Linked DNA regions of Macaca fascicularis. The protein of the gene in region 4 purifies or fractionates together with the protein of the main gene of each other region. This does not show direct contact. Links are inferred from orthologs where the notes say so. Each region holds a gene or a part of one and is shown on either strand. Other genes may lie near its edges.

Region 1 (3,500 bases), on a different chromosome or scaffold from region 4:
ACGTGTCGTGGCTGGTCGTAAAGAACCCCAAGGGTCCCTTCGATCTTCTCCTTGGGTGGGGGCTTCACCTCCTTCTCGACATCTGGCTTCTCCGGGGATGGACTGCCCTTCCCCTCACAGGGCATAGTAGGGGAGAACAACTGAGAGAAAGGTGAGAAGGCAGAACATGAGAAGAAGGAAAGGGGATGAGCGGGGGTAAAGAAATGCCAAACGCAGGCATAATGGGAAGATCAAAGGAGCCAGATTCTGCCACGCTCAGGATTGAACTTACTGAGAAATCAGGCTTCTCCATGTCCTCAAAGAGCACACTGGAACTAGGGTCAATGTCCATAGATTCTGAAAGCCCTGGATCCTGAGGGCATAGAACATAAGCAAAGTTGCTTTAGCCCTAGGGAGCGGCTCCCACCATCTAGAAAACTTCACGGGGGAATTGGAGAGAGAAGACCAGATTGTGGAAAGCACAGGATCTGGAGTCAAGTCATCCAATCACTTAACCAGTATAGGCCTCTGCTTCCTTCAGCTTGAAAATGGGGACAAGAGTACCTCACAAGGCTGATGGGAGGAACCAATGAAACAATTGATGTGATAGTGCTTGGTCAATCACCAAGTGCTAAGAAAATACTACCCCCCTGCCCCACGCAAAAGACGCTCTTAGAGGCCTCTGGGAGCCATGAAGATAGAAATGTCAGAAGAAACGATCTAGGGCAAGGAAAAGCCCACTCACCTCCAGCTTGCTGCTGCTGCTGCCTTCAGCCTCCTTGTGCTCTGGGTCATCGGCAGGATCATCAAAGGGAGAGGGAGGCCGGGGACCAGGGGCTCCAAAGGCAAGGTCCCCTCGGGAGATGAGAGTGCAAGTATACATGTTGTGGGAGAAAACATCATGTCGAATCAGTTCACAGAACAGCAGTACTAAGTTAAAGAATTCCACCCGCTCACTCTCACTTCGGGGGTCCGCTGGAGGAAGGGAATGAGGAAACATGAGTTAGGAGAACACAAAAAGGTGGGCCAAAAGAGAGAGGGACACACCTAAGGCAATTAATAGGAGTGATAAAATAAAAATCCCAGAAACTGTCGAGGGACAAAGCGTGGTTGGTTACCTCACATGCTGCCCCACACACCATCTCAGAAAGGAATGTAATGTCTTTGTTGCGATTTACGCAGTGAAAATGCTTCAATCACAAGCTCTTGTTTTAATCCTTCTCTGTATTTCTCTACTTTAACTGTAAGATGATCAGTTAAAGAGGATCACTAGAACTACATCTAAAAGTCATTCTGCATAGAGCCCAAGAGAGAAATATACTTTTTGATGACAGTGGCGGGTAACTGAGTCTAGGCAGACGCAACTAGAGAGTGGTAGGGGTCCGTACTCAGCATGGGAGCCTGTGTATCCAGAAACTGCAGGAGGACATCCTGGAAAATGGGAGCACTAGGAGCAGAAAGGGAGCCAGAGGCGATGGAACCCTTCTCATCTGCGGCTTCTGATTCTCCACAACGCTGCAAGATGACAGAACAAATTGTAGAACTGACTTTTACCTGCTTCTTCACTCCTCAATGTGTAGGCCTTAAACTACTACCTGCTTGACCTCTACCCCATGCTTTTCATTTTCATTCCCCTGCTGACCTCCATCTTCTTTACCACCTCCCAACTGAAGCCTTGATGTTATCTCTAATTCTGATAACAATCCACTCTTCTCTACTTTCACCTCATGTCCGTAACTTTGCCTTTAGGTTCTCTTCCACTTCTTTCCTCTGTTCTCACACCTTCAACTCTGGTCCCTCCACCACCTCCATCTCTTGGTCTCCAACCCCAGTAAATTCCTTCCCATTGGCCAATCTCATTCTCTTATCTCTGCCCTCTAACCTCAGCCTCAATCTCCGCCTGTCTCTTCTCCAGGAGCTTGGCTACCACCATAGCACGATGCCGACCAGAACGCTTGCAGCTGACAGCCCATTCACATAGCAATGACACCACAGCATCATCATCTGAGGAGATCTGGAGACCAAAGGAAGAGAGGGAGGAGTAAGGTAGGGGTGGGGACAAAGAAATGAGTTCCAATTTCCTGAAGACTGCACTCCATCATAAAACATTCTGGGCCCAGTAAGATCATTTCTGCAGATATGCTCTGCTTTCAATGCCTCACCATGACTTCCCCTCAGATATATTATTGCTCTTGCAATGTTTTTTGCTCCTTCTATTCCCCTTTTCGCTTACCTCATGCCCATCCTTGCTAGGCCCCAATCCAAAGATTCGGTTACAAAGTGAGTCAAGAGAGTTGCTGAAGTCAGAGCGCTCAAAACTATGGCTATCCAGCACTTCCAAAGTATGAAGCACCCGTCCAATGGTGAAGCCTAAGGAGGAAAAGTGGTAAAGGGGACTGAACTAGAGGCCCAGTGCATTCTGGCTCTCAGATCTACATGTCCTTACTATCTCCATCCTTTCCTCAAACATACTTCCTATTATCTGTTCTCCGACACATACCTGCAGTAGCTTCCTGGCATTTATCGAAAGACCAGCGAACTTCAACTGCCTGTCCCCGCTCCTTGATCTGCTGCTCGATCTCCCGCAACTTTGCACGGACCTGCAATGTTAAAAAGGAAGGCTATAAGGATGTACCAAGGCATACAAAAGGCCAGAGCCCCAGGCTAGAAGAATAGTACCAGACTCCAAATCACTATTTCTGAGAGAGCACTTTAGCCTCATAGCCCAATCAGAGTACCAGGCGAGTGGTCAGACATACCTGCTGAGTGAAGGCACTGTTACCCTCTGGCATGGGCAGGTTGGAGGGGGCAATAGGCAAGTGGTCAAGTGGTGAGCCGGTCTTAATTCTGCTATCAGTCAGTGAGTAGTGCCAAACCAAGGCACTAGGACAACACAGGAGGATGGTCTGCCAGATAGAAACAGCTAAGTCCAACTCGTTCACATGGCTACCCCTCTGGAATCCCATTCTAAGACCAAACCCGTAGATTCCAGATCCAAAGTTATTCTGACTGGGCCCCCAAGACAGGCATCACTCCACCCGATCCCCTCCCTTCACTCACTTTCCTAAAAGGCTCTGGGCCTACTATTTAGCCCTGGAAGGGAGAGAGAGGCTGGTCAAAACCCCCAAAGGGGACTAACACCCCATTACCAAGAAACAACCACCTCCAAGCAAGTACTCAGCACCTACTCCCACATCCAATTTGGAATTACCCCTATACTCTGGGATGGGCACCCAATTCTTCTCAGGTTATCTCTCAATGCTTCCTTGGGCCCGCCTAGTACCTACCTGTAGGATACAGCTGAGGCCAAAAACCAGGGGCCGGTGCTGAGGGCACATAAGCAGGTCACTAAAGGGAGTCGAGGGGGTGCTGCTAGTTGGGGGCTGAGGAGCAGGGGTGGTGGGTAGCGAGCTTGTTGACTGAGCAGATATAACATGAGATGAGTGACTGCTCACACCATCTAGCTGCAGGGCCAGTCTCCGTGTACAAAAGTAGGCAAGGCGGCGGGACAGGTACGCAGA
Region 2 (4,024 bases), on a different chromosome or scaffold from region 4:
GGTCCCCGAGGCCCGGTCCCCCAGCCGGGCCTGCAGCCCAGCGTCATGGAGGACGACATCCTCATGGATCTCATCTGAATCCCCAACACCCAATAAAGTTCCTTTTTAACACACGCCCCGGCTCCCGTCACTGACATCCCCCAGGACTGGGCAGGAGGAAACCCCAGGGGGCATCTCTGTCCTTGTTCTCACTTCAGCAGATATCCCTGGGGCCCTGGGTGGGTGACGCCGGGGCCTCCGTGGTGAGTCAGAGGCAGTCTGGTGCAACCTGGTTCGTGGGAGATGCAGGGACAGGCAGGCAGCGCTCAGGACTCAAGCTCTCATGGAGGTGGCGGGGCACCATGGGAGCCTGGAAGAGGTGTCTGACCCAGCCCCAGCTCCTCAGTCTTGAAAGAGAATCAGCTGTCAGGCCGGGAGGGAAGGAGGTGAGGGGTGATCTGGGTGCAGAGAACAACAGAAACTTTGAATACTCAAAGACAGGAGGAAGCCTGGGATGTTGAGAGGAGCAAATTGATGGATGCTTTTGGAGCATGAGCGTGTAGGGAGCTCATGTGTAGAGAGATGGGCAGGTGCAGAGTTTGAGGAGCTCAGATGCCAAACTGAGCAGCCCGTGGTTTGTCCTGGGGACACAGGAGAACCAGGAGACTTTGAGCGGTGGGGCGGGCTTAGGCCGGCTCTGGATGTCAGAAAGAGCCCTCTCAGCTGTGGAGCGTGATGAGACCAGACAGGAGGCCAGGAAGGGTGAGGCTGGGTGGTGGGGATGCTGGGGACTGGGGTAGAGGTTGGCTTCTGGGGTCAGGCCTACGTGATGGTAGGTGGTGGGGCTCCTGGGAGAAGGAGCTGGTAGTAAGTGTACGTGGTCCAAGGGACGTCCAGGTGACAGGTGCCATTTTGGGAGCTCAGGACGTGTCCTTAGAGGACAGTGTATGTTTGGGGTTCAAGCCACAGAAGCAGACAAGATCGCACATGGAGAGAGGGTGGTCCCTGGGTCCACATCAGAGACTGACCTTCCAGGGCTGTGGACGGGAAGACGGTGGGTCTGTCCCCAGGATGGAATACCCAGCAGGGAACAGGTTTGGGATGTGGCAAGGTGAGGGACCTAAAGGATGGCCTCAGAGACATCCTGAGGGCAGGGGATCCAGACAGGCTTGGAGCGCAGGGCGGTCTCTCCTGGAGGTGGAGAGTGAGTTGTCTGTTGTCGGACTCTGGACCAGTGTTGCTGAGAGCGCGGTCCATGCCTGGACCACCAGCATCCACATCATTTTGGATGCTGGTTAACGTACAGATTCACAGGCCCCACCCCAGGAGAGAGATTGCAATCTGGTGGCCTATGGGCCATGGTGCAGATGAGTTTTGTTTGGCCTTCCCTGTGTTAGCATATGTGGCATTTTTTTCTTGAGTTAGTTATAAAAATCAGGTTAATACACACACACACACACACACACACGCAAAATCTGCAGTCTTGGCATCTTTTGACAAGTCAGAAGAATTGGCACCCCTGGGCCCGCCCTTCTGCCTGGCAACAACGGGCTGGAGCTGCCCCTCTCCATGGGGCGTGTGCTCTCCGGTTCGCCACAGTCCCCACCACTCCCTCTTGGCTCCCCTGTGAGGCAGAGAGTCACTGCCTTTGTCACGGGGCTTGCACTGTGGTTGTTCTGTGGTAGCATTCAGAGGAAAGTGAAATCTTTCTTGTACTCATGTCTGTATCACAAGCGGCAAAACGAAAGAGAGAAGGAGAGGGCCGCGTGTTTCGAGAAAAGTGGGAGCGAGCCTATTTCTTTGTGGAAGTGAAGAGCATGCCTATGTGTTTAATATGCAAACAAATCGTGTCTGTGTTGAAAGAATACAACCTGAAACGCCACTACGAATCAAAGCATAGCAAGAGCTACGACCAGTACACAGAGCAGACTCGAGACGCCATCCTCAGCGAACTGAAAAAGGGACTCAAATGTCAGTAGGGTTTGTCTTGAAAAGCGAATTAACAGAAGTGGTGCGGCAGTGGTACGCCGTTCCGGAATCACGTGAGAAGAATGACCTGGGCATTCAGAGCTACAGCAGATGGCGAGTTGATAAAGGAGCAGAGTGACGTGTCCTTTACAGAAACACATGACTGTTGAGACCATTATTTAAGTCTAACGGGCATTTGCGTTGCACAGTGAGTTGGAGATAACTCGGGGGATTTAGAAGTCCAGTTGCTTGAAAGAGTCAAATTGATTGTGGCCTTTTCTTTCGCTGCTCATAAACTATTACCACCCAGTTAGCTTTATTTATTTGTGGTGTTAAGAAACTTGATGTGACTGAAGAAGTCTGTGGCATGGTGCCAAGGCGGGCCCAACACTGGGAAAGGACTCATTTTTTTTTTTGTATATTGAGAGAAAAGTTTCACATAGACTGGCCAGAGTTCTGAAGCACAACTACAGACAGCTGTCATGACAGGGGGACTTGACAGGACACCTTGAGCCAAGGTGACAATTTGGCAAGGACACGGAAGTCGGGTCGTTGCATCCATCATCAGGAGTTGACTTGTTCTGAGCAGCTGAACAGAACACACCGTGACGCTCTCGACACTTCCGCTCCTGGGCTTTAGTCACGAGTGAGTTGATGATGACTTGACCTGAGAGATTTCACAGAAGCTCTGTGACTTGGTTGTGGAAGAAATTGAAACTGTACAAGTTAATCAGCTTGGTTCATTTTAAATCAAGCAAAAGCCACAGTGGGTTCCCCTGAGAAGGTTAGTCAAAGACTTCTGGTCAAGGTTATGACCGTTCTGAACACTGAATATTTCTCTGCAAGGATGTCCACAAACAGCTACTTGAATGTAAGATGGTATATGCTTGGTCCTGGCAAAAACGGGGAATCCACCAGCAAGGAAAAAAAACATTTACTCTTTCCTACGCCACAGTTGGCTTTCAGAAGTGAAAGACGTGGCCTGGACTATATTCACCTACGTCCTGGGGTGGAAGACCAAATTCCCCCAAAGGCCCTCGGAATCCAGACTCATGAGAAGGAAGAGACACTGTCCAGTTTGCCTTTGTTGGTAAATGTTTCTTGTGTGAATACAGACCATAAATAGTAATTGAACTATGGTGCAATACGGCGCTGGTTCCTAAATACAAGTCTGTGTGAAGATGGTGAGATTCTACAACTATCTCCAGTAGTTGTCCTGAATATCCATGTTTGGGAGTACCCACGCTTGTGAACAGCTGTTTTCCGTTACGAACCTGAATCAAATTAAACATTGTTCCCAGTTTAAGGATTCAAGGCTGAATTCTAAACTGCCCATCCCCACCGTGCCACCCCAAGGCCTGACACATCTCGGTGTGGAAGGGAAGACGCCAGCCTTTTGGCTTCAACTCAAAGGCGCAAAAAGAATTATGAAAGAGAATTTTAATAATTAAATATTTCTATTTTTCAATTTGTATTTTTTCAATTTTGAATTTAAAAATATAAACTCCAGTATCATCCATGTTTGTATTATGTTCCATGCATTCACCATAGTTCAGTAAAGATCCGATTTGATGATATTTCTGGCCGTCGACTTTTCTTATACCTGGCTAGTTCACTCATTTATGTGACCCGCCTGGCCCCTGTAGGCATGTGAGTTTCCCATCCCTGCCCTGGAACTGCTGGATCCAGCGGGGGGAGGGCGGGGGTGTGGGAGTCGTGTGAGCAAGCTCTCTAGGCGATCCTCAGGAATGTGCGTGTGGAGCAGGAGGCACTGGTGACAGCGAAGAAGTGAAAGTGGGGGATTTCCCAGGCAGCCTGTGTAGCAGGGGTTTTTGAAAACTCAGATGGCTTCAGGGACCAGGCAGGTGATGAAAATGTGTGAAGCGGACGGGTGTAAGACAACAGGGAATGATGGGGACTGTGGCGAACTTGGAGAGTGCTTGCCCCGCCTAATGGCATTCAAATTGAAACCAAAAACACTGTGAGGACCAAACAAAATCTGCCTGTGGGTCTAATGAGGCCGCCAGGCCGCCATTTTGCGACCTCTGGAAGAAGGAGAAGACTCGAGAACAAGGAC
Region 3 (2,899 bases), on a different chromosome or scaffold from region 4:
CAGGCGCCTATAGTCCCAGCTACTCAGGAGGCTGAGGCAGGAGAATGGCATGAACCAGGGAGGCAGAGCTTGCAGTGAGCTGAGATCATGCCACTGTACTCCAGCCTGAGCGACAGAGCGAGACTCTGTCTCAAAAAACAAAAAACAAACAAACAAACAAAAAGAATGAGTCTGAGTCTGCAAAAATTACTTTTACCATTATATAAATTTTTAGCTGGACTTGCATGGCCAGTAATGATTTAGTGATGGCAATAACATGAGCTACAAAGAAAATAAAGTTCTAGGAGGAACGTATTTAGAAATATGAATTTGAAATACAGTTGGTTAAATTCACTAGTTCTTTCAAAAAGAATCTGTAACTCTTAATTCCTAGGCCAATGTCAGTCACCAACTGTAGTGTAGGACCCACAGAATACCGCATTTCCAACTGACCCCAGCCAGCACACCGCCTGGCACACAGCCGACATTCATTCCAAAGGAGTCATGAAACTATCACGTGGTATATTCATTCAGCAGACTTTACTTATTAGTTTTCAAGTCTTTCACAATGCCAATTCCCCCAAAATTAACAATGTCTCTCAAAATCCAAGAAATTCTGAAGAAATAAAATGTGTACTGTATTTACAAATACAAAATTAAAAAATTTTAAGATTATAAAAATTGAAGAATTATGTCATCTGTCAGGTGAGAGTGTCAATCTGCAAAAGCAATTATTTTTAAAAAAAGAAACTGGAGAATCAATCAAGTTCAAGAACTTTCAGATGTTATTTTCTTACATGGCTTCCAACTCATTTTATACAGTTAAGTTCGAATCCATAGCAAAGGTAATAAAACTACCAACTGACCTTGATAGAAACTATGGAAATTTATAACAAAATTTCAAGTCATTTTAAAAAGAATAGAAGCCTTGTTTGCTCCTACAACGCAACAAAGTCTAGATTCTTTTTCTTGATAAAAATCTTACTATTCTGAAAATCTACCAAGAGATTTATGCATAAAATATTTGTAATAACAGTTTTACATGTGGGGTGCCTTTAAAATAATATATCTGAAGACTAAGTATGTCATTAATAAAAAATACAAACAAAAACAACGGCTAGAATAGGAAAGACTGAAAGTGCCAATGACAAAAGTCCTTTGATCACAGATAACCTCTATGTTCCTATGTAGCTCTAATAAGTTGTTATGAATATGAACAACACGTATCTTACTTGATCTCTTAGAGACAAAAATATAGATAGGGAGATGGGAGTTATAAGGTGTCCACAGATTCATCATTTGAATCAAAATAAAACAATCTGAACATCATCACTGCTTCTATCACCATAGCGTGATCACATTCAGATTGAAAAGGTTTGAGTCCATTCTCAAAGACGGATGTATTTCCACTTTCTCCACAGTACAGTCTGGCTTCACTGAGTTACCGGTAAAGACACGGGCACCTGATTAGACTGAGGTGCTGGAGACCCACTGTTCATAGCTTGTGGAGGCACTGCAGCTGGTTCCATCTTGCTAATGTGTGTGATGAATCGAAGACGAAGTTTTAAAGCTGGTTTTAAGTTACAGATAATTTTCTCTACCTAAGAAATAAAAACACATTAAAACGTACTTTAATCAGAGAATTTCAACTTCTCACATTTAAAGCAGGATTTACACATATCCTGAGACAATAAACTAAGGAGTGGCGTGGGGTAGATGAGAAGTTTCTCAACATGTTCTGTGTTTTACGAAAAGCAGATACAATTCTTTCTTGCATGAGAAACAACACATTCTCCCTCACACACACCCATTATATATTCTATATGCATGTTTGTACATGAACCATATGTATATTCATATATAGGCATATACTTACAAAAGTATATCCACTTATCTAGCTAGCCAGTCATCCCACTACCAAAAGCTAGCAGAGTTTACACAGGAAATTTCATACATCCAACAAGCTGATCATTCTTTTAAAATGCCATCTTTACAGAAGCATGAAGCATAATTATATTTTAAAGTTCTTTGAATAACTCATGTCTGCAACATTTATATACAAAACTAATTATTTTTGTTTTGATTTACACTTGGAATTAACTAAATAATATTAGATCTACTCTTTTGAAAAACACTAAGGACACAAATACATCAAGTCGTTTCACAGCTTTCTTAGCTTTACTCAAATGCTCTTTGACCTTTTCCTTTCTGTACTCCCTTGTGTTAAAGTTTCTTAGGCCCAAATATAAAGAATACTTTTTTTAAAAAAAGCAATCAATTTCTTTTATAGTTTCTCTGCATGTTCTGTGTTGTAACAAAAGCCAATATAATTTCTCTCTTTCTTACATGAGAGAGAACAGGTCAACTCTCTTTGACACTGCTGCTGAGACATAAAGGAGTCAACCTCCTTGGTATCTCAACCCAAAGAATTGGGAGGGGTATCTCAACCCAAAGAATCAGTTATGATTCAAGGTCTTTTACTACTTTCAGACATCCCTATTAGGAAGTTCCTCTTCATATGCTAAGTCAGGATGTCCTCCCTTTAACTTTCCCAGAATTCATACACCCTCTAAAGTGACACAGAACAAATCTAATCCCTATTCCAAATGAAAACCCTCCAAAATGCTGAGGGCATAAATAATGCCCTAGGACTTTTTTTCTTCAGGTTAAGTATTCCCATATTCTTTAAATGCTCTTCATGAGTTAGTCTCTAGTCAGGATTAGTCTAGAATCCTGACTTTAGTCTTCTAGTTATGCTGTGGTTTGTCTAATGTCACCATGAGTGTTAGGAGAAGTAGGACCTCCTTTTCTCATAACACAACAACTTCTCTGCTCGTATTTCAGCAGCCATATCCCACTGTTTCTCCCTAATGAGATTATTATTAATTAACCCTCTAGGTCTTTTGGGGGAAAAGTACAA
Region 4 (3,977 bases):
CTCGTTCTGTCACCCTTGCTAAAGTACAGTGGCATGATCTGGGTTCAAGTGATCCTCCCACTTCAGCCTTCCAAGTAGCCAGGACTGCAGGCACACACCACGCCTGGCTAATTTTTTTTTTTTTGTATTTTTTGTAGGGATGGGGTTTTGCCATGTTGCCCAGGCTGGTCTTGAACTCCCAGGCTCAAGCGACCAGCTCACCTCAGCCTCCTAAAGTGTTGGGATTACAGGCATGAGCCACTGCGTCTGAAGGTTTTATGTATTTTTTTTTTAAGTCCCTTCTGTGTCCCTTTAGACGAAACAGAGACAAGCACATGTGATCAGCCCACTAGGTTTCACAGGTACGCTCTTGAGTACATCTCCCAACAATCCTATGACATAAGCATTCCCATTTCATAAGAGAAAAACAGGCTCAGAGAAGCTAAGCTACTTGCCCAGGTCACCCAGTCAGCACATTATAGAGCTATTACATAATCTAAACCTATCTTTTGAGGTCCACTATGGACATATTAGAGATAAGAAGATTATGGCCTAGAAAGGTTAGACATTTATATCAATATTAGAAGGCATGAAAATGTCAGTATACAGATTTGAACTCAGGACTGTCTAACTTCAAAGCCTCTTCTCTGTAGTATAACTTACTACTACATCTTTAAGGCCAGCCCAATCCAGCTGCTTTACCAGGGCTCAAGAATATACTCTTGGGGGGTTCAAGAGCTGTCTTTGTGAATGTGTACATTTTGTGTTTTCCTTTTTCCACATTTTTCTTAAAACCAGTAAACTGGGGTTAATCTGACTAAACCCTTTATAATCCGGCACTGCCCTGGGATTATAGGGGCTCCATATGTATTTCTGTCTGTGATCATTATCACAGGCTCACAAAAACTGAACAGGCTGTCTTATCCCAGAAACATTTTTTTAAATTTATTTATTTATTTATTTTTGAGACAGAGTCTTGCTCTTGTTGCCCAGGCTGGAGTGCAATGGCATGATCTCGGCTCAATACAACCTCCACCTCCCAGGTTCAAGTGATTCTCCCGCCTCAGCCTCCCGATTAGCTGGGATTACAGGCACCCACCACCACACCTGGCTAATTTTTGTTTTTAGTAAGAGACAGGGTTTCACCATGTTGGCCAGGCTGGTCTCAAACTCCTGACCTCGTGATCCGCCTGCCTTGGCCTCCCAAAGTGCTTGGATTACAGGCATGAGACACCACGCCCGGCCCTTATAAACAGTAAACACCAAGTGAAGCCAAATGAAGCCAGGGTCTAATGTGAGAACAAAGCCTTTGTAGTTATTTGAAAAGTGGCAGAAGAGCATCAGGTCATCCCACAGCAAGTGAATCTAGTTTGCTTAAACTCAAAAGTGGGTGGGCCACTAACGGTCAAGACCTTCACGTTGTAACAATTCCGTTTCAGTAAAACAGTGAAGAGCACATTCATGTTCACCTGAATGTTACTGGATTCGTAATTTTCTTTTAATTTACTTTGTGGTCTTTAATGGCTGAATAAGAGTTATAAGCCTAAGGGTTTACACCTACTATCACGTGGATATAGAGTGAAGTAACATAATGAAAATAATTTACAGCCTAGGCAACACGACTAAATTCCATCTCTACAAAAAGTACAAAAATTCGCTGGGTGCTGTGGCTCATGCCTGTGGTTCCGGTTACTTGGGAGGCTGAGGTGGGAGGATGGCTTGAGGCCTGGAGGTTGAGGCTGCAGTGAGACGAGATCACGCCAATGTACTCCAGTCCGGGTGACAGAGCGAGACCCTGTCTCAAAAAAAATAATAATTTAGGCAAACACGGGGATCAGTATAATAATTTAGGCAAACACGGGGATCAGTAAGACTTTCGTGCTTTTGTTTTTGGTTTTTCCTTTACAGAGTCACTTTGAAAACTCAGGCTACCCTAAAGGCTGGCCAAAAGGATGACAATTATCTCCTTTGGTACTGTTAGAACAAAGTCAGTACAGGTGGGTCTAATCATCTCAGGCAACTTCTGTGTTTTTGCTTAGTCTAATATTTCCCATCGCCACCGCTCCCCTCTCAATCTTTTTGAATTATGGGTTATTCCCAATCATGTCTTTTTTTTCCTTCTATGCCCCTTTTACTGTGTCCATCCCATAGCACTTGGCAGTGTCCCACACAGGGAAGATGATGCTTATCTGTTGAGTCTGTTGAAATAAGGAACTAAAGTGAGTATTACTAACATTAAAGGTGAGAAAACTGAGGCTTAAAGAGATTTAATTTGCTCAAGATCGATGGGATGCACGTTTGAGCCGCTGGACAAGAGTCTGTATGTAGTCTCTAAGCTGGCTTCATTCTTAAGGATATCGCACCTCTCGGGGCTCAAATCGTTTGCTTAACTCATGGAATGTCTCTGTGGTCTTGGGAAAGGCCTCTTCCCGCTCTGGGTCTGAGTTTCCCCATCTGCGAAACGGGGGCGTGCCCTAGAGCGCCAAGGCCTCTTGAAGCTCTGAAACGGCTGAGACGAGAAGCTGGAGGGAGTATGGGGCCTGGTCCTCTCCTAGGTTCTTACCATTTGATGATGCTGTGAACCAAAGGTAAAAAGGAGTAGTTCTCTTCCTCCCTCGCGCGGGCAGGTGACTGAGGCCGTGGCGCCGGCGACTGCTGCGGCTGAGGCGCAGGGACAGGCGGCGGCTGAGGGGGCGGCAGCGGCTTGGTGTCAGGCAGCGGCTGGTCGGACGTTGGCGGCAATGCATCCTCCGCCTGTCGCCCGGCTGCCACCCCAGCAGAGGCCATGGCTCCGGGGTTAGGTTAACCCAGAGGTCGGGTCGCCGACAGCGTCGCGAACTCTATACGTCACCACCGCGCGCCCTGCAGGGGCGCAGCGTGGAGGAAGGCTCTGAGCATGCGCACTGGGCACTCGGCCGGCAACGGGGCGGAGGCGGGGTGGGGAGACTGTTGCTAGGCGACGGGCCGTGGGTGGGTCTGGGGTGCCTGGTTTTGGGTTGAGTCAAGACCCAAAATTATTTAAATATTATTAAATAGTGAGAAATAGGGGATTTATTTCAGAAATAACAATTTTTTTTTTTGAGACGGAGTTTCGCTCTTGTTGCCCAGGCTGGAGTGCAGTGGCGTGATCTCGGCTCAAAGCAACCTCCGCCTCCCGGGTTCAAGTGATTCTCCTCCCTCAGCCTCCCAAGTAGCTGGGATTACAGGCATACACCACCACGCCCGGCTAATTTTGTATTATTAGTAGAGACGGGGTTTCTTCATGTTGATCAAGCTGGTTTCGAACGCCCCACCTCAGGTGATCCGCCCTCCTCGGCCTCCCAAAGTGCTGAGATTACAGGCGCAAGCCACCGCACCTGGCCATAAATAACAATCTTCTTATTCCTATTCACACGATGAAGAGGGCCCCAAAGCCACAAACACAGGAAGCCTTGAGGTCAGTAAGGCGCAGCCTGGCCCAGTGCACCCAAGTCTGGAGAGGAACCACTGGACCTGCAGGAGGCGTAGACAGCACTTACCTGCTGGCTGAGGCACCAAACCCGGCCCGGCCCACAGTGCGAGACATCGAGACCTCCTGCTTAGCCCTAAGGACGCAGAGGCAAAGGGATTGCGGTCCCTTCAGTGCTGCATGGCTGCTGAGAGTCTGATAATTCAACTCAACACACTTTTAGTATGCACCTGCTGGATGGCCAGGTGTAATGTGTGGTTGCAGGGAGGCTGTCCTTGCTTTCAATACAAGGTAGAGGGGATTCGTGCCAGGAATAAATATCATATCCTGGAAGAACGACAAAGTCAGGTACGCTCCATACCTTCGGGCCAGTTCCTCAAACCCCTAGGTCCCAGTTTCCTCACCCCTAAAATCATATTTAGTTCAGAGTCATGGCAGAGCCTAAACTGCATTCTAACTTCACATTCGTGGCTGACCCCAAAAGGTCTTGTTGGCATGAGGACTCCCTAGGATCATAGGCCAAAGATGGGTTTATGGTTATGCTTCTCAA
Region 5 (4,090 bases), on a different chromosome or scaffold from region 4:
AAAGATCAATTTAAAAAATTAATAAACAATAGTACAGGCAGTACTTAGCTATATAGAAATCAAGAAAACAGTCATAGATGACATTGCTTTATGATCAACTAAATGAATCTATTAGGGTAGAGTCCTTCTGTTGCTAAAAATTGTCACTACTCTATCAGAAAAAGCACTGATAAACAATGTTGCTAATGTGCCTTATGTTGAAATATAAAAGAATCCCTAAACTGACGCTACAAGGGACAGAAGTCCTAGGATTCTGAAAACGTTGATAAGGGTGCCAACAGAGAGCCCTTGCCCTGGAGCTGCCTTCTCCATTTATTTATTTATTTATTTATTTATTTATTTTTTTTTTTTTTGAGACGGAGTCTCGCTCTGTCACCCAGGCTGGAGTGCAGTGGCCGGATCTCTGCTCACTGCAAGCTCCGCCTCCCGGGTTTACGCCATTCTCCGGCCTCAGCCTCCCGAGTAGCTGGGACTACAGGCGCCCGCCACCTCGCCCGGCTAGTTTTTTGTATTTCTTAATAGAGACGGGGTTTCACCGTGTTAGCCAGGATGGTCTCGATCTCCTGACCTCGTGATCCGCCCGTCTCGGCCTCCCAAAGTGCTGGGATTACAGGCTTGAGCCACCGCGCCCGGCCTGCCTTCTCCATTTAAAAAGCAGGGGTGGCTGGGCACGGTGGCTCGTGTCTGTAATGCCAATACTTTGGGACACCAAAGCAGGAGGCTCGCTTGAGTTCAGGAATTCAAGACCTGGATGTACAAAACAGCAAGAACCCATTTCTATTTATTTAAAAAAGAGCATGGGGTTCCAGGGTTCTACGCTGCATCCTTTCTATTTCCATCCCTCACATATCTTGCTTCCATTAAGGAACACAGGAGGATCATGATGTGAACTGTGGGAAACAAGAGTGCAATCACTGAGAAACCTGCAAGAACCTGGGCTACCAGGAGGAAAAGTATTTCCCCTACACATGCTTTTGTATGAGAAGCCTATAGCCACTGGCTTCAGATATCCTGGCCTCTGGGTTTCTCCCACGGGGAAAAATGCTCACATCTACTGAGATAAGAAAAAAATGTTCTGGGACCTGGCACCTTACAACTAACGCCTCCACAAGCACTGGACCCATACCTTTCCCTGCTACCTCATCTTCTTCCAACGGAGACTTAAAACCTATGAAAGATAAAAACTCCTCTGAAACTAGACTAACCATGGAATTAAACATAGTGGGAAACGGGTCCTAAAGAGATAAAGTGCCTGGAACCATGATCTCCTTATTTTCAATAGCCTCTTTTTCCCTCTGGACCCAAGATCTTAAAATGGGCAAATTAGAAACAGACACAAGCTGGTCTAACTGCATTTGATGGCTGAGGGAAGGGTAGGCAAAAATCTTGGCCGGTCGCGGTGGCTCACGTCTGTAATCCCAGCACTTTGGGAGGCCGAAGCGGGCGGATCACCTGAGGTCTGGAGTTCGAGACCAGCCTGACCAACATGGAGAAACCCCGTCTCTACCAAAAATACAAAATTAGCCGGGCGTGGTGACGCATGCCTGTAATCCCAGCTACTCCGGAGTCTGAGGAAGGAGAATGGCTTGAACCCGCGAGGCGGAGGTTGCTGTGAGCCGAGATCGCGCCATTGCACTCCAGTCTGGGCAACAAGAGCGAAACTCCGTCTCAAAAAAAAAAAAAAGAAAGAAAGAAAAAGAAATAAAGAAAAATAAAGAAAATCTTTAAAAATACTGTTTCCTGATTGCTTATAACACACTCCCTCTAACCCTGTCTGCAGGTGGGTCACAGTCCAAAGACCCTATTTCCAACCCTGACGTCCCATTGCGGGCAGTACTATGGCCTCACGGGAAGGAAAATAAATCTAGAAGGGAATGAGGTACACAACCATTGATAGGTTCCTGGGATAAAAACTTTGCTTTGTCGGCCGGGCGCGGTGGCTCAAGCCTGTAATCCCAGCACTTTGGGAGGCCGAGACGGGCGGATCACGAGGTCAGGAGATCGAGACCATCCTGGCTAACACGGTGAAACCCCGTCTCTACTAAAAATACAAAAAACTTACCCGGGCGAGGTGGCAGGCGCCTGTAGTCCCAGCTACTCGGGAGGCTGAGGCAGGAGAATGGCGTGAACCCGGGAGGCGGAGCTTGCAGTGAGCTGAGATCCGGCCACTGCACTCCAGCCTGGGTGACAGAGCGAGACTCCGTCTCAAAAACAAACAAACAAACAAAAAAAAAAACAAAAAACTTTGCTTTGTCGACACCAGCCTGGCCAATATGGTGAAATCCCATTTCTACTAAAAATACAAAAAATAGCCGGGCGTGGTGGTGGGCGCCTGTAGTCCCAGCTACTCGGAAGGCTGAGGCAGGAGAATCGCTTGAACCCAAGAGGCGGAGGGTGCAGTGAGCCAAGATCGCACCACTGCACTCCAGCCTGGCGACAGAGCGAGACTCCGTCTTAAAGAAAAAAAAAAAAAAAAAAAAAAAACTTCGCTTTGCTTTCCCGCCTTCCAAGAGGAAGGGGCGCATCTCCGAGGAAACAAGGCCGGGGAACCCGCGGCTCGCACGGCATCCTCTCATCCACACAACCCGAGGACAGCTCCCAGGGGACGGCGGACCACGGTCAAGGTCCTCTTTTCGGCCCTTCACAACTCCAAGCTCCGCCCTACAAAACCCCCTGCAGTCCTACCAAGTCACTCCCATGGCGTCGGGCCAGGAAGGCGGCCGGATCACACGGTAGAAACGCAGGGTTCCCTATCCGCCCACAGAAACTGCTTCAGTTCCCCAACACAACCTTCGGTCTCGGAAGAGACTCCGGAAATACGTAAAAACAGAGCGCCGGGTCCACGCCTTCCCCAAGGAGTGGGGCGGGTCTCAGGGCCCCTCGGTGACACCTCTAGTGACATCATCTGCGGATTCCCGCCCACAGGTTTCTAAATCCAGACATTCTCGTTTGGCTGAGCACTCTAGGCCTAGACCCATGAAGCTAAGAGCGACACTCAAAGACTGCACTGTTGAGAGAAGCTAACGTTAAAGGCTGTAAATATATTGGGGAGTCCAGCACCGGAACCCGGGAGCTCTTTTAGTGGGAGGGGCGGCGCTGATGGCGCTTCTGGCCTCCGAATGCTAGGGGGCGCTGTGATCGCCGCGTGGCCTCTTGAGAGCCGGGAGTCCACCGCGCAAGCGCAATCTGGCTTTTTCGCCGTCTCCACGTGCGAACCTCCGCGGCAACGTTTTCGAGAAAAATGCCCAAATTGAAGGCGGCCCGTGGGGTCGGGGGTCAGGAAAAACATGCGCCCCTGGCCGATCAGATCCTGGCTGGGAATGCGGTGCGGGCAGGGGTCCGGGAGAAGCGGCGGGGTCGCAGGACCGGAGAAACGGAGGAAGAGTATGTGGGACCCCGGCTGAGCCGGCGGATTTTGCAGCAAGCACGGCAGCAACAGGAGGAGCTCGAGGCCGAGCATGGGACTGGGGACAAGCCCGCGGCGTCGCGGGAACGCACCACGCGGCTGGGTGAGTGTCTGGGATGAGATCCGAGGAAGACAGTGGCCAGTAGTGGGGCGGGGTGGACAGCTAAAAAGTGTCTGGCAGGGGAATTGCTTCGAGTCAACAAAGGGTCCGTATTACACTTGCAAAAGTAATGGAATGGGAGACTGAACCCTGTTCAGAGCCCTCCGCGTCCACTCCTAGTTTTAGGCACTCCCTTCTACACATCCCCTAAGTTAGGCCAACAGTAATCGCTCGCTCCACCCTAGCATTTATCCATTGGTTTTGTAAATATATATGGGATACCCACTACGAGCTTTGTACTATGCTCGGAGTTCTATCGAATGTTTGGGTACAGAAGTAAACAACATAGGCACGTCTGACTTAAGGACCTTACAGTCAAGCCCAGTAGAGAGTCAATTAAGTAGACTCTTAGAATAATATTTTTCTATGATAAAGTGTCGCTTCCCTGGTAACAATAGCATTGGTCTTGAGAAGCTTCTCCGATTGCAGCAGGACCTTTTAAGTTGAGAACTGAAAAACGAATGGGAAGTGTTATGAGCAGAAAACACATTGTTTAGCAGCCAAAGAGGGAGAGAGATGAAAGA
Region 6 (4,082 bases), on a different chromosome or scaffold from region 4:
AAAAAAAGAAAAAAAAAATCTGCAGGCCAAAAGAAAAAAATGCAAGCTATGATTAAACCATAAAGCGTTCTTATAAAAAATATGCTTTATTTTGAACAAGGGATTAGATCTCCTTCAGAAATAACTATTATATACAATGTACTTTAGGCAACATACTTTTAATATTCCAGGTTGCTGCTTCTGTATAGCATTTTCAAAAAAAATATCAATTTGGAATCAGAAAAATGTACAAGTCAGCAGTTTAGATTTCTTTAATAGCACCTTATCCACACTCCATGTACAAGACAATGAAGACATTCTACATTCCTTTCAAAAAAAAAAAAAATCAACTAAGCATTACTACAGTTCTCTATTTCAAAGTTGCTACTTAAAAAATAATTATTTTTAAAAGCATATTCAAAAATCAATCCTTTGGTTTAAAGAGGTTTAGGGGAGAAATATCTGAAACACAAACCTTTAGTCAGTCAAAATCAAAGTACAGAATCCTCTCCTACAAAACTGCTTCTCCAAAAGAATCTCAAGCATGTTATCTCTGTAACGTTATCATTCTTACTTAAGCTTTAAAAAAAAAAAAAAAAAAAGATAAAAGAAATGATATACCCTAAAAGACTGGCTATACATACACTTTCATACGTCTACACAATCTGTATATACACAGTCATTACCAGTCAGCATAATATATGATAATTTGGGAGATCTCTCTATTTGGTTATTTTAATTACCTGTGTCAATGTGATCACCAGTAACCACACAAAAACCATTTTAAATACCCCTTGATCAATATGTTTGCTAATCTGTGAAAGTCCCTGAACCTGACTGATACCAAATGATAAGACTGAGGAGGGAAAAAGAAGGGGCAAAAGGGGGTTTTACTCCCACATACCAAAAAAATCAAGGGAAAATTATCAAAATACTAAGAGAAAGAATTCCAACTTATAACTGAATTTTAAGATGAAATATCTGGATTAAAATATTTCATTTAAAAAAATTTACCTGATCTTACTAGAGTGGGATCAATGATACTATGTCACTCGGTCTTTGTAGGTAAAAATCGCGTGTGTTGATTTTTTGGTCTGTATTGTAACACATTTAATAACATAATACTTTCATTTGAAAAGTTGGCGAGAATTTGCATTTCTCCATTAGTCTCATAGCAAAAAAGCATCTAGGCCACCCATAATTAAATGTAACTAATTACAATTTGAACACTAAATTATTTATCCAGTGTAAACAAGGATTAAGAGGGAAATGATGCTTCTATCTACAGCGGGGGTTACAGAAAATAATTTCCAAAATGTATGTTCTCCAAAAGGGACTCACCTCCCCCTAAAAAAACCAGGGTACACAACTAAGTTGGGTGTTTTTAAGGATAAATTAAATAAACTGTTCAGCCAATTTTCCAATTATATTCTACGCTTGAAACGTAATTGCCTTACATCTGTTTACAAATCTTTGCTCAATATTTAAACAAATTCGTACTCTCCTGGGCACATAGCTATACATACAGTAATTCATGCACAAAGCACATATTTAAAGACCACGCACTGCAATTATTAGCCTAAACGCCAGGTTTAACAACGTGAATGTTTTCAGAGGTAGGTAATACGACCCAATAAAAAGCAAAGATGGCATTTACCACCAAATGTCACTGCCACCGCCAGGAAAGAGTTGCTGGAGCCCTATACATTTTTAATTTCGATGAATCTAGACGCCGTCGGCGGGTGCCAGGCTTCCACGAGAACAATTGACACCCTAACTGCTTCAAGATTAAGGCAGGCGATTCAAATCCGAAGGAAAAGTTGTCAATTATCAGAGAGAGAGCGCGAGAGAGGCGAAAGCAGATAAAAGCGATGTTATCAAACCGCCCAGCTTGTTGCTTTTGTGTGTGTGTGTGTGTGTGGATTCGTTGTTAGGACAGAGAAAACAGTTTTTAAAAGACACAGAAGGAGAGAAAGAAAAAAAAGCTTTCTCCACCTTCCGTCGGCTCGGTGCAATGGCTTTACGGCTCTCCAGCGTAGTAAGCCCCGAGAGGCAAGCGGCTGTCGATGTTTACAATCGCGGGAGCTTCGGGTGCAAGAGTCCTTTCCTGACACAATCGCATTCAATCAACTGTTTTCGGGCGAAATTGCAGGTGTCATTATGGAATTTAAAAAAATTCAAAAGGCAGGCGGGCGGGCGGGCAGGCAGCCGATCCGACAACGGGGAAGAGGTTGCCGATCGGAGGCGCGGGCAGCACAAGGCAAAGCCTTCCACATTTAGGGGGGAAAAAAAGGGGGGAAAGGGGAGGAGAAGGGGAGTGCAATTGCAACAGAGGGTGGGCGTTCGAAGTGCGACCCAGAATCCGCAGCTCCGAGACTTCCACATGCAAATTCCACGCCGAGCGCCGCGCTCACAAATGATTTTTAAAGAGCCAAATAAACACTGGATGGGATCCAAGGCGAGAAAGAGACGATCCAAAAGGGGGAGAATCGGCGAGAGGCGAACGGCGGGGAGACGCGAGGGAGGGGCGAAGTCCCGGCGGCGGGAGGAGAAAGTTGGTCGGCGGCGGAGGTCGGGGAGCCCCCCCTCCCCGACACAGCCCCCTCCCCGCAGCCCGGCTACTCACCAGCGAAAAGAGGTTGGAGTGACAATCCTCCAGGCTCGCCCCGTTCGCCACCCAGTTCGCTGCCGCAGTCATGATCCTCCGCGAGCCCGGCCGCCAGAGCGGGGCATGTCGGAGCGAGGCGTCCGAGGCGAGGCCGGGCCGGGCGGCGGCGCCTCGCCGGGGAGCGCGGGGCGGCCGGGCCGCCGCCGCCGCCGGGGGAGGGCGCGAGGGCCGGCGGGCAGGCGGGAGGCGCCGCGGCGACGCCGCGCCGGGGGCGGCGGGCCCGGGCTGGCGGGGGGGTCCGCGGCGGCCGCGCGGCTCCTTCCTGCTCGGGCGGCGGCGGCGGCTGCGGCGGCTTCGGCGGCGGCGGGGGGCGCTGTCCGTGCGGCCCGGCGCCCACCCCGCCTCTCAGGGCCGCCGCTGCCTCCCGGGCCGGCGCTGCGGGCCGGCCGCCGCCTCCGCCTTCCCTGCTCCTCAGCCGCCGCCGCCGCTGCCGCCGCCTTGTTTATCTCCAGCCACCGACTCCCCCTCGGCCCCCGCCGGCGCGCGAGGGGAGGCGAGCCCCGGAGCCGCCGCCGCCGCCTCGGAGCCGCCGCCGCCGCGGAGCGCGAACTCGCGAAGGGGGGGGTGCGGACGAAGCCAGCGGGCGACCCCGGCAGCCGAGCGACGTCCCCTCCTTCCTCTTCCTCCCCCACCCCCCCCTCCTCCCCAGTCAGCCTCGCTTCTCCTCCCTCCCCGGGCTCGCTTGCTCTGACAGCAATGGCGGCCGCCGACCGCGGCTCGGCCCGCCATTGGCTGGTGCCGGGTCACGTGACGGGCGCCGGCCGCGCGGGGGGAGAAGGGGGCGGGCGGGGGAGGGGTCCGGAGTGGCGGCGGCGGCGGCGGCGGCTCGCGGGAGGCGCTGCTGAGCCGAGCGCGGCCGGGTCCTCGAGCCGGGAAGAGGGAGGGAGGGAGGCGGAGAGGGAGAGAAAGAAGTGCAGGCGGCCGGGCTCCCCGGCGGGCGGCGGACTGCCGGCCCGTGGCTGCCGTGGGCTGCCCCTCGTGGCCGCCCCGCCCCCTCGCGGTGCACTGATCGTGGCGGGGCGGGACCGTGGGTCCGGGGCGGGACCGTGGGTCCGGGTCGCGCCCGTGGCGGCCGCGGAAGCGGGCGCGGGGCCCCCGGCCTGTGTCCCCGCAGCCCAGGCCGGCTGGCGTGGCGCGGCGGCCGCGCTGTGGACCAGGCAGCGGGTCCGAGTGCTCTGGGAAGTGTGTGTCTTCGGAGGCTCGCGCCGCCGTCCGCCTTATACAGAGAAAAAAAACTGAAGCACAAAGGGATTAAGTCACTTGCCCGAGGTCGCACACCTGGGAAGAGGAGTCCAGATTCGAACCCGCGCACAGTGAAGCCAAGCTCTTGGACTAGGTTTCACAGTCTTTGCCCAGGGATATTCACGGCTGCCACAGAGGGAGCGCTTACTGTGTTCCAGGCACTGTGCGTTTAATACAGAAATGTGTATTGAGC
Region 7 (4,142 bases), on a different chromosome or scaffold from region 4:
TTCTCTACTCCTCCATAACCAAACTACACATGTTGTCTCCCAATCTCGTATCACAATCACTTTTGCTTTATGTTACAGATTGATTTCCAATAGCAAACACTTACTTGTATCTCTCATAAACACTGACAAAATTAACACTGCTAAATACTAAACACATGGTATTATCCAAAGTTCCTGAATGAAATGATTCAGTTCCATATCCTTTTTGTCACAGTAAACTATGCAATTTTATATGGACACATTAACTTTTTTTTTCTTTTTTTTGAGACGGAGTCTTGCTCTGATGCCCAGGCTGGAGTGCAGTGGTGCGATCTCAGCTCACTGCAACCTCCGCCTCCTGGGCTCAAGCAATTCTTCTGCCTCAGCCTCCCAAGTAGCTGGGATTACAGGCGCACACCACCATGCCCGGCTAATTTTTGTATTTTTAGTAGAGACAGGATTTCGCCATGTTGGCCAAGTTGGTCTCTTAATTCCCCACCTCAGGTGATCCGCCCACCCTGGCCTCCCAAAGTGCTGGGATTACAGGTGTGAGCCACCGCGCCCGGCCTGTATGGACACATTAACTTCCCTACAACTATCACAGAAATTTCAAACCCCAGGTTCAAACCCAGTATCTTCTATGGCCATAATAACCTCTACTTACTCTACCTTAAGCCTAGATATACCATCCAATGAGAAGATTCTGAAGTGCTCCTTTACACTGGTATTATCAAAGTTTCAAGATATAACACCCTCTAACATCAGGTGGGGCAAGTATTCTATTAGAAGCAATATTATACTTAGAATTCGTGAGGTACTAAGGGCAGGCATGGTGCAGCCCTGAGTTTCCACCATGCCACAGTAGTGCATAGGATGATGCAGCCTCGACCTCCCAGGCTCAAGCCATCCTCCCACCTCAACCTCCCAAGCAGCTGGGAGTACGAGGCAAATGTCACCACGCCCAGCTAATTTTTGTATATTTTGTAGAGACAGAGTTTTGCCATGTTACTCCGGGTGGTTTTGAACTCCTGAGGTCAAGCAATCCTCCTGCCTTGGCCTCCCAAAGTGCTGGGACTACAGGTGTGAGCCACCACTCCCAGCCAACATTTTAAAACTTATAACATAAATTCAGATTACAGAAAAAGTGCATGCATATACAAAGAACACTTCATATTCTTCACTCAGATTCTCCAAATGTTAACATTTTCCTTCATTTGCTTTATTGGTTTCTCATTCCTTCACCCCTGAATACTTCAATGTGTTTTCCCAGGACAAGAATGTTTTCTTCTACCCACAGCACAATTACCAAAATCAAGGAATTAACATTGATCTGGTACTTCAAAACACAATTTTTGACACCTTACGTTTCATTCCACTCAAACCTTTTTAGGTGACGAGTGCTGCTCTGTACTTTCCTACACGATGTGCATTCCTGTACTTAGGTTGTCATTTTCCTAAGGCAACTACGTGACAGATACTGTTGTTTTATGGCCTCTCTAACATAATCTTCATAACAATTCTATGAATTAAGGTTGTTTGTTTTGTTTTTTGAGACAAGGTCTCAATCTGTCTCCCACGCTGGAGGGCAGTGGTATGATCAGGGCTCACCGCAACCTCTGCCTCCCGGGTTCAAGGGATTCACCTGCATGACCCTCCTGAGTAGCTAGGGACTACAAGTGTGTGCCACCACGCCCAGCTAATTTTTTATTTCTCGGTAAAGACAGGTTTTCACCATGTTGGCCAGGCTGGTCTGGAACTCCCGACCTCAAGTGATCCGCCCACCTCGGCCTCCCAAAGTGCTGGGATTATAGGCGTGAGCCACCACAGGGTCCCATGAATTAAGTTCTATTATCAATTTCATTTTAGAGGTGAAGATCCCAAGTCTCAATGAGGGGAAGTGTTGCCCCAGATCAAAAAGTTAATAAATGGTACAACAGGAATTCTTATCCCAGGTCCCTTTAGCTCCAAAGGGCAAGCTCTCTTATATCTCTAAGCCGTGAAGCATCTAATTGTACAATTAGAACTTGCATATTACAAAAATTATATTTTTCTCTACTGTCTCTCTAGATGGAACTTTTCAAAGGCGATGGAAGTCTTATTTTAATAAAACCAGAGCAAAGCATCATAACTGGTTCTCAGACTCAAGATCCAACATCTAGTGTTTGTTCTGGGGGAGAAGGCGCCTCACCAGAAGACGACAGATATTCCAGGGTCCCAGCCCCAGAGATTTGATTCATTCTGTCCACTGTGAATGGGCCCTGGTATGTCGCTTTAAAAACCTCTCCAGATGGACCTGACGATTAGGCTTGGTTGGGATCTACTGCCCTCGCCTGCCCCCGTATCTCAGCTGTTTCACAACTGCTCCCAGAAGAAGGAAGGGCAGGGAGGGCTACTCTCATGTTACAAAGGGCCAGAAAGGGCAAATAACTCGCCCAAGGCCACACAGCCTAGAAAAACAGCGGCGAGGGGACTAGACACCACGTCTCCCAACCTCCACTCCGGCTCGGCGTCCCCACACGGAGGAAGCCCTGGGACTGCAGCGCTAAGAGCCCCCTCCTCCAGGCTGTCCATCCCGAGACCTCCACGAGCGGCGGGGAGGCCGCGCTCTCGGAGAGACTCGGGACAGAAAGACGAGAGAGCGTCTTCGGAGGCCGAACTCCTCCATGCCTCCCCAGTTCCCAGCCCAGCACAGAGGAAACCGCGGGGTCCGGAAGAAAAAAACGCACACACGCAGGGGCCCCAAGCCGTTGCCGCCCACTCACCTCAACTCTGGCTTTACACTGGTAGCCGCCTTCCCCCTCTGCAGCCGAAACCAATTTCCGGTCTCCTCCTGGAAGAAGCCACCGACTCTGTCTTTGATTGGCTGTAGGAGCTGTCCTTTAACGAGATTCTAGATCCGCCTCAGACCGATCGCTCGCTATTGCGCCTGCGTATATTCGACTCCTGCCATCGCCACCCCTTTTACTGACTTTTAAAAGTAGTAAGTGAGGGTTGTTTCTTCGTTTCTTTAAGGCATAAAATTAAACAAGACATCTTATTGCTTTATTTTTTATAGACCCCTTATTGACTAGAAAAAATCTTATATTTTAATATGTAACATGCTCTTGTAAGACTTCCATGAATTTAGACATTTATGACGCGAAAATAACCTCCCAAAGAAAACCTAGCAAAGGTTGTTCGTGTGTTCCACCCGCTGCCCGCATTACAACTCTTCTGCTGACAGTCGCAGCTGGTAGTTCCATTCCTTTTGTCTTTTCTTTTTTAATTTAACCCATACAATGAAGACATCTTACATAAAAATTCGAAAATACAGATATGCAGGGTTTTTTGTTGGTTTATTTTGTTTTATTTTTTTTTTTTTTTTCTTTGAGACGGAGTGTCTTTCGCCCAGGCTGGAGTGCAGTGGCGCGATTTCGGCTCGCTGCAACCTCTGTCTCCGGGGTTCAAGCGATTCGCGTGCCTCAGCCTCCCAAGTAGCTGGGATTACAGGCATGTGCCACCACACCCGACTAATTTTTTTTTTTTTCCTTTTTTTGTATTTTTAGTAGAGACAGGGTTTCACCATGTTGGTGAGGCTGGTCTCGAGCTCCTGACCTACAGTGATCCGCCCGCCTTGGCCACCCAAAGTGCTGGAATTACGGGCGTGAACCACGTAGCCCGGCCTCCCCCATTTTAATTCCCCCGCACATATAAATTTATTTCCTGAAGAAATTCATCCTCACTGCTGACCCCAATATGTCCTGCACCCGTGACTTCCAATGCTTGTTCCCAGTCCTCGTTTTACTCCCTCTGTCAGCAGCATTTGGCACATTTGATTATTTGGATTGCCCCAGGACTCAGTTCTCCAACCACTTCTCAGTCAGATATCACCCAGATACATGCAGGCCCTGGAACACCGTTTCCTCTGCACTTCAGACCCTCATATCCAGTGGTGACAGACATCTTTACCCCGTTGCACTTTACTCAATTGCAAATGTTCAATCTAAGGAATCACCTTTTTCTCCTTTCTCCCATACCCCACCGAAACTACCATACCAGCCTTTTGCATTAGCTCTATTTAAAAATAAGTAAATAAAGTTCCAAATATGACTGACCACCGTCCCTACTGGTATGGTCCTATGCCATGCTGCCATTATCTCTCATCTGGATTTCTTTGATTTTTG

What was found.
Region 1: the proteins of MED9 (region 4) and MED12 purify together in Homo sapiens (affinity purification with mass spectrometry; 6 studies listed by BioGRID and IntAct, with this or other methods). This does not show direct contact. The link is inferred for Macaca fascicularis from reciprocal best matches to the Homo sapiens genes MED9 and MED12.
Region 2: the proteins of MED9 (region 4) and MED25 purify together in Homo sapiens (co-immunoprecipitation; 3 studies listed by BioGRID and IntAct, with this or other methods). This does not show direct contact. The link is inferred for Macaca fascicularis from reciprocal best matches to the Homo sapiens genes MED9 and MED25.
Region 3: the proteins of MED9 (region 4) and MED23 purify together in Homo sapiens (co-immunoprecipitation; 3 studies listed by BioGRID and IntAct, with this or other methods). This does not show direct contact. The link is inferred for Macaca fascicularis from reciprocal best matches to the Homo sapiens genes MED9 and MED23.
Region 5: the proteins of MED9 (region 4) and MED20 purify together in Homo sapiens (affinity purification with mass spectrometry; 6 studies listed by BioGRID and IntAct, with this or other methods). This does not show direct contact. The link is inferred for Macaca fascicularis from reciprocal best matches to the Homo sapiens genes MED9 and MED20.
Region 6: the proteins of MED9 (region 4) and MED13L purify together in Homo sapiens (affinity purification with mass spectrometry; 5 studies listed by BioGRID and IntAct, with this or other methods). This does not show direct contact. The link is inferred for Macaca fascicularis from reciprocal best matches to the Homo sapiens genes MED9 and MED13L.
Region 7: the proteins of MED9 (region 4) and MED7 purify together in Homo sapiens (affinity purification with mass spectrometry; 5 studies listed by BioGRID and IntAct, counting the BioPlex papers as one, with this or other methods). This does not show direct contact. The link is inferred for Macaca fascicularis from reciprocal best matches to the Homo sapiens genes MED9 and MED7.

The regions. Positions count from the first base shown.
Region 1 is NC_088395.1:77,823,137-77,826,636, reverse strand, and holds part of MED12 (mediator of RNA polymerase II transcription subunit 12), read right to left. Parts: coding exon 3,267-3,500; intron 2,886-3,266; coding exon 2,739-2,885; intron 2,580-2,738; coding exon 2,480-2,579; intron 2,350-2,479; coding exon 2,213-2,349; intron 1,994-2,212; coding exon 1,862-1,993; intron 1,495-1,861; coding exon 1,368-1,494; intron 955-1,367; coding exon 725-954; intron 353-724; coding exon 272-352; intron 141-271; coding exon 1-140. UniProt on the Homo sapiens protein: Component of the Mediator complex, a coactivator involved in the regulated transcription of nearly all RNA polymerase II-dependent genes.
Region 2 is NC_088393.1:57,821,044-57,825,067, forward strand, and holds the end of MED25 (mediator of RNA polymerase II transcription subunit 25), read left to right. Parts: coding exon of another isoform or gene 1-78; exon of another isoform or gene 79-113; intron 114-1,713; coding exon 1,714-1,958; 3' UTR 1,959-3,524; downstream 3,525-4,024. UniProt on the Homo sapiens protein: Component of the Mediator complex, a coactivator involved in the regulated transcription of nearly all RNA polymerase II-dependent genes.
Region 3 is NC_088378.1:35,557,851-35,560,749, forward strand, and holds the end of MED23 (mediator of RNA polymerase II transcription subunit 23), read right to left. Parts: intron 1,581-2,899; coding exon 1,413-1,580; 3' UTR 501-1,412; downstream 1-500. UniProt on the Homo sapiens protein: Required for transcriptional activation subsequent to the assembly of the pre-initiation complex. Component of the Mediator complex, a coactivator involved in the regulated transcription of nearly all RNA polymerase II-dependent genes.
Region 4 is NC_088390.1:17,577,514-17,581,490, reverse strand, and holds the start of MED9 (mediator of RNA polymerase II transcription subunit 9), read right to left. Parts: upstream 2,801-3,977; 5' UTR 2,767-2,800; coding exon 2,543-2,766; intron 1-2,542.
Region 5 is NC_088378.1:129,647,976-129,652,065, reverse strand, and holds the start of MED20 (mediator of RNA polymerase II transcription subunit 20), read right to left. Parts: upstream 2,801-4,090; 5' UTR 2,700-2,800; coding exon 2,686-2,699; exon of another isoform or gene 2,063-2,685; intron 1-2,062. Other genes in the region: BYSL (bystin), read left to right, coding at 3,242-3,509. UniProt on the Homo sapiens protein: Component of the Mediator complex, a coactivator involved in the regulated transcription of nearly all RNA polymerase II-dependent genes.
Region 6 is NC_088385.1:123,225,482-123,229,563, forward strand, and holds the start of MED13L (mediator of RNA polymerase II transcription subunit 13-like), read right to left. Parts: upstream 2,801-4,082; 5' UTR 2,678-2,800; coding exon 2,606-2,677; intron 1-2,605. UniProt on the Homo sapiens protein: Component of the Mediator complex, a coactivator involved in the regulated transcription of nearly all RNA polymerase II-dependent genes.
Region 7 is NC_088380.1:163,931,908-163,936,049, forward strand, and holds the start of MED7 (mediator of RNA polymerase II transcription subunit 7), read right to left. Parts: upstream 2,801-4,142; 5' UTR 2,742-2,800; exon of another isoform or gene 2,346-2,741; intron 1-2,345. UniProt on the Homo sapiens protein: Component of the Mediator complex, a coactivator involved in the regulated transcription of nearly all RNA polymerase II-dependent genes.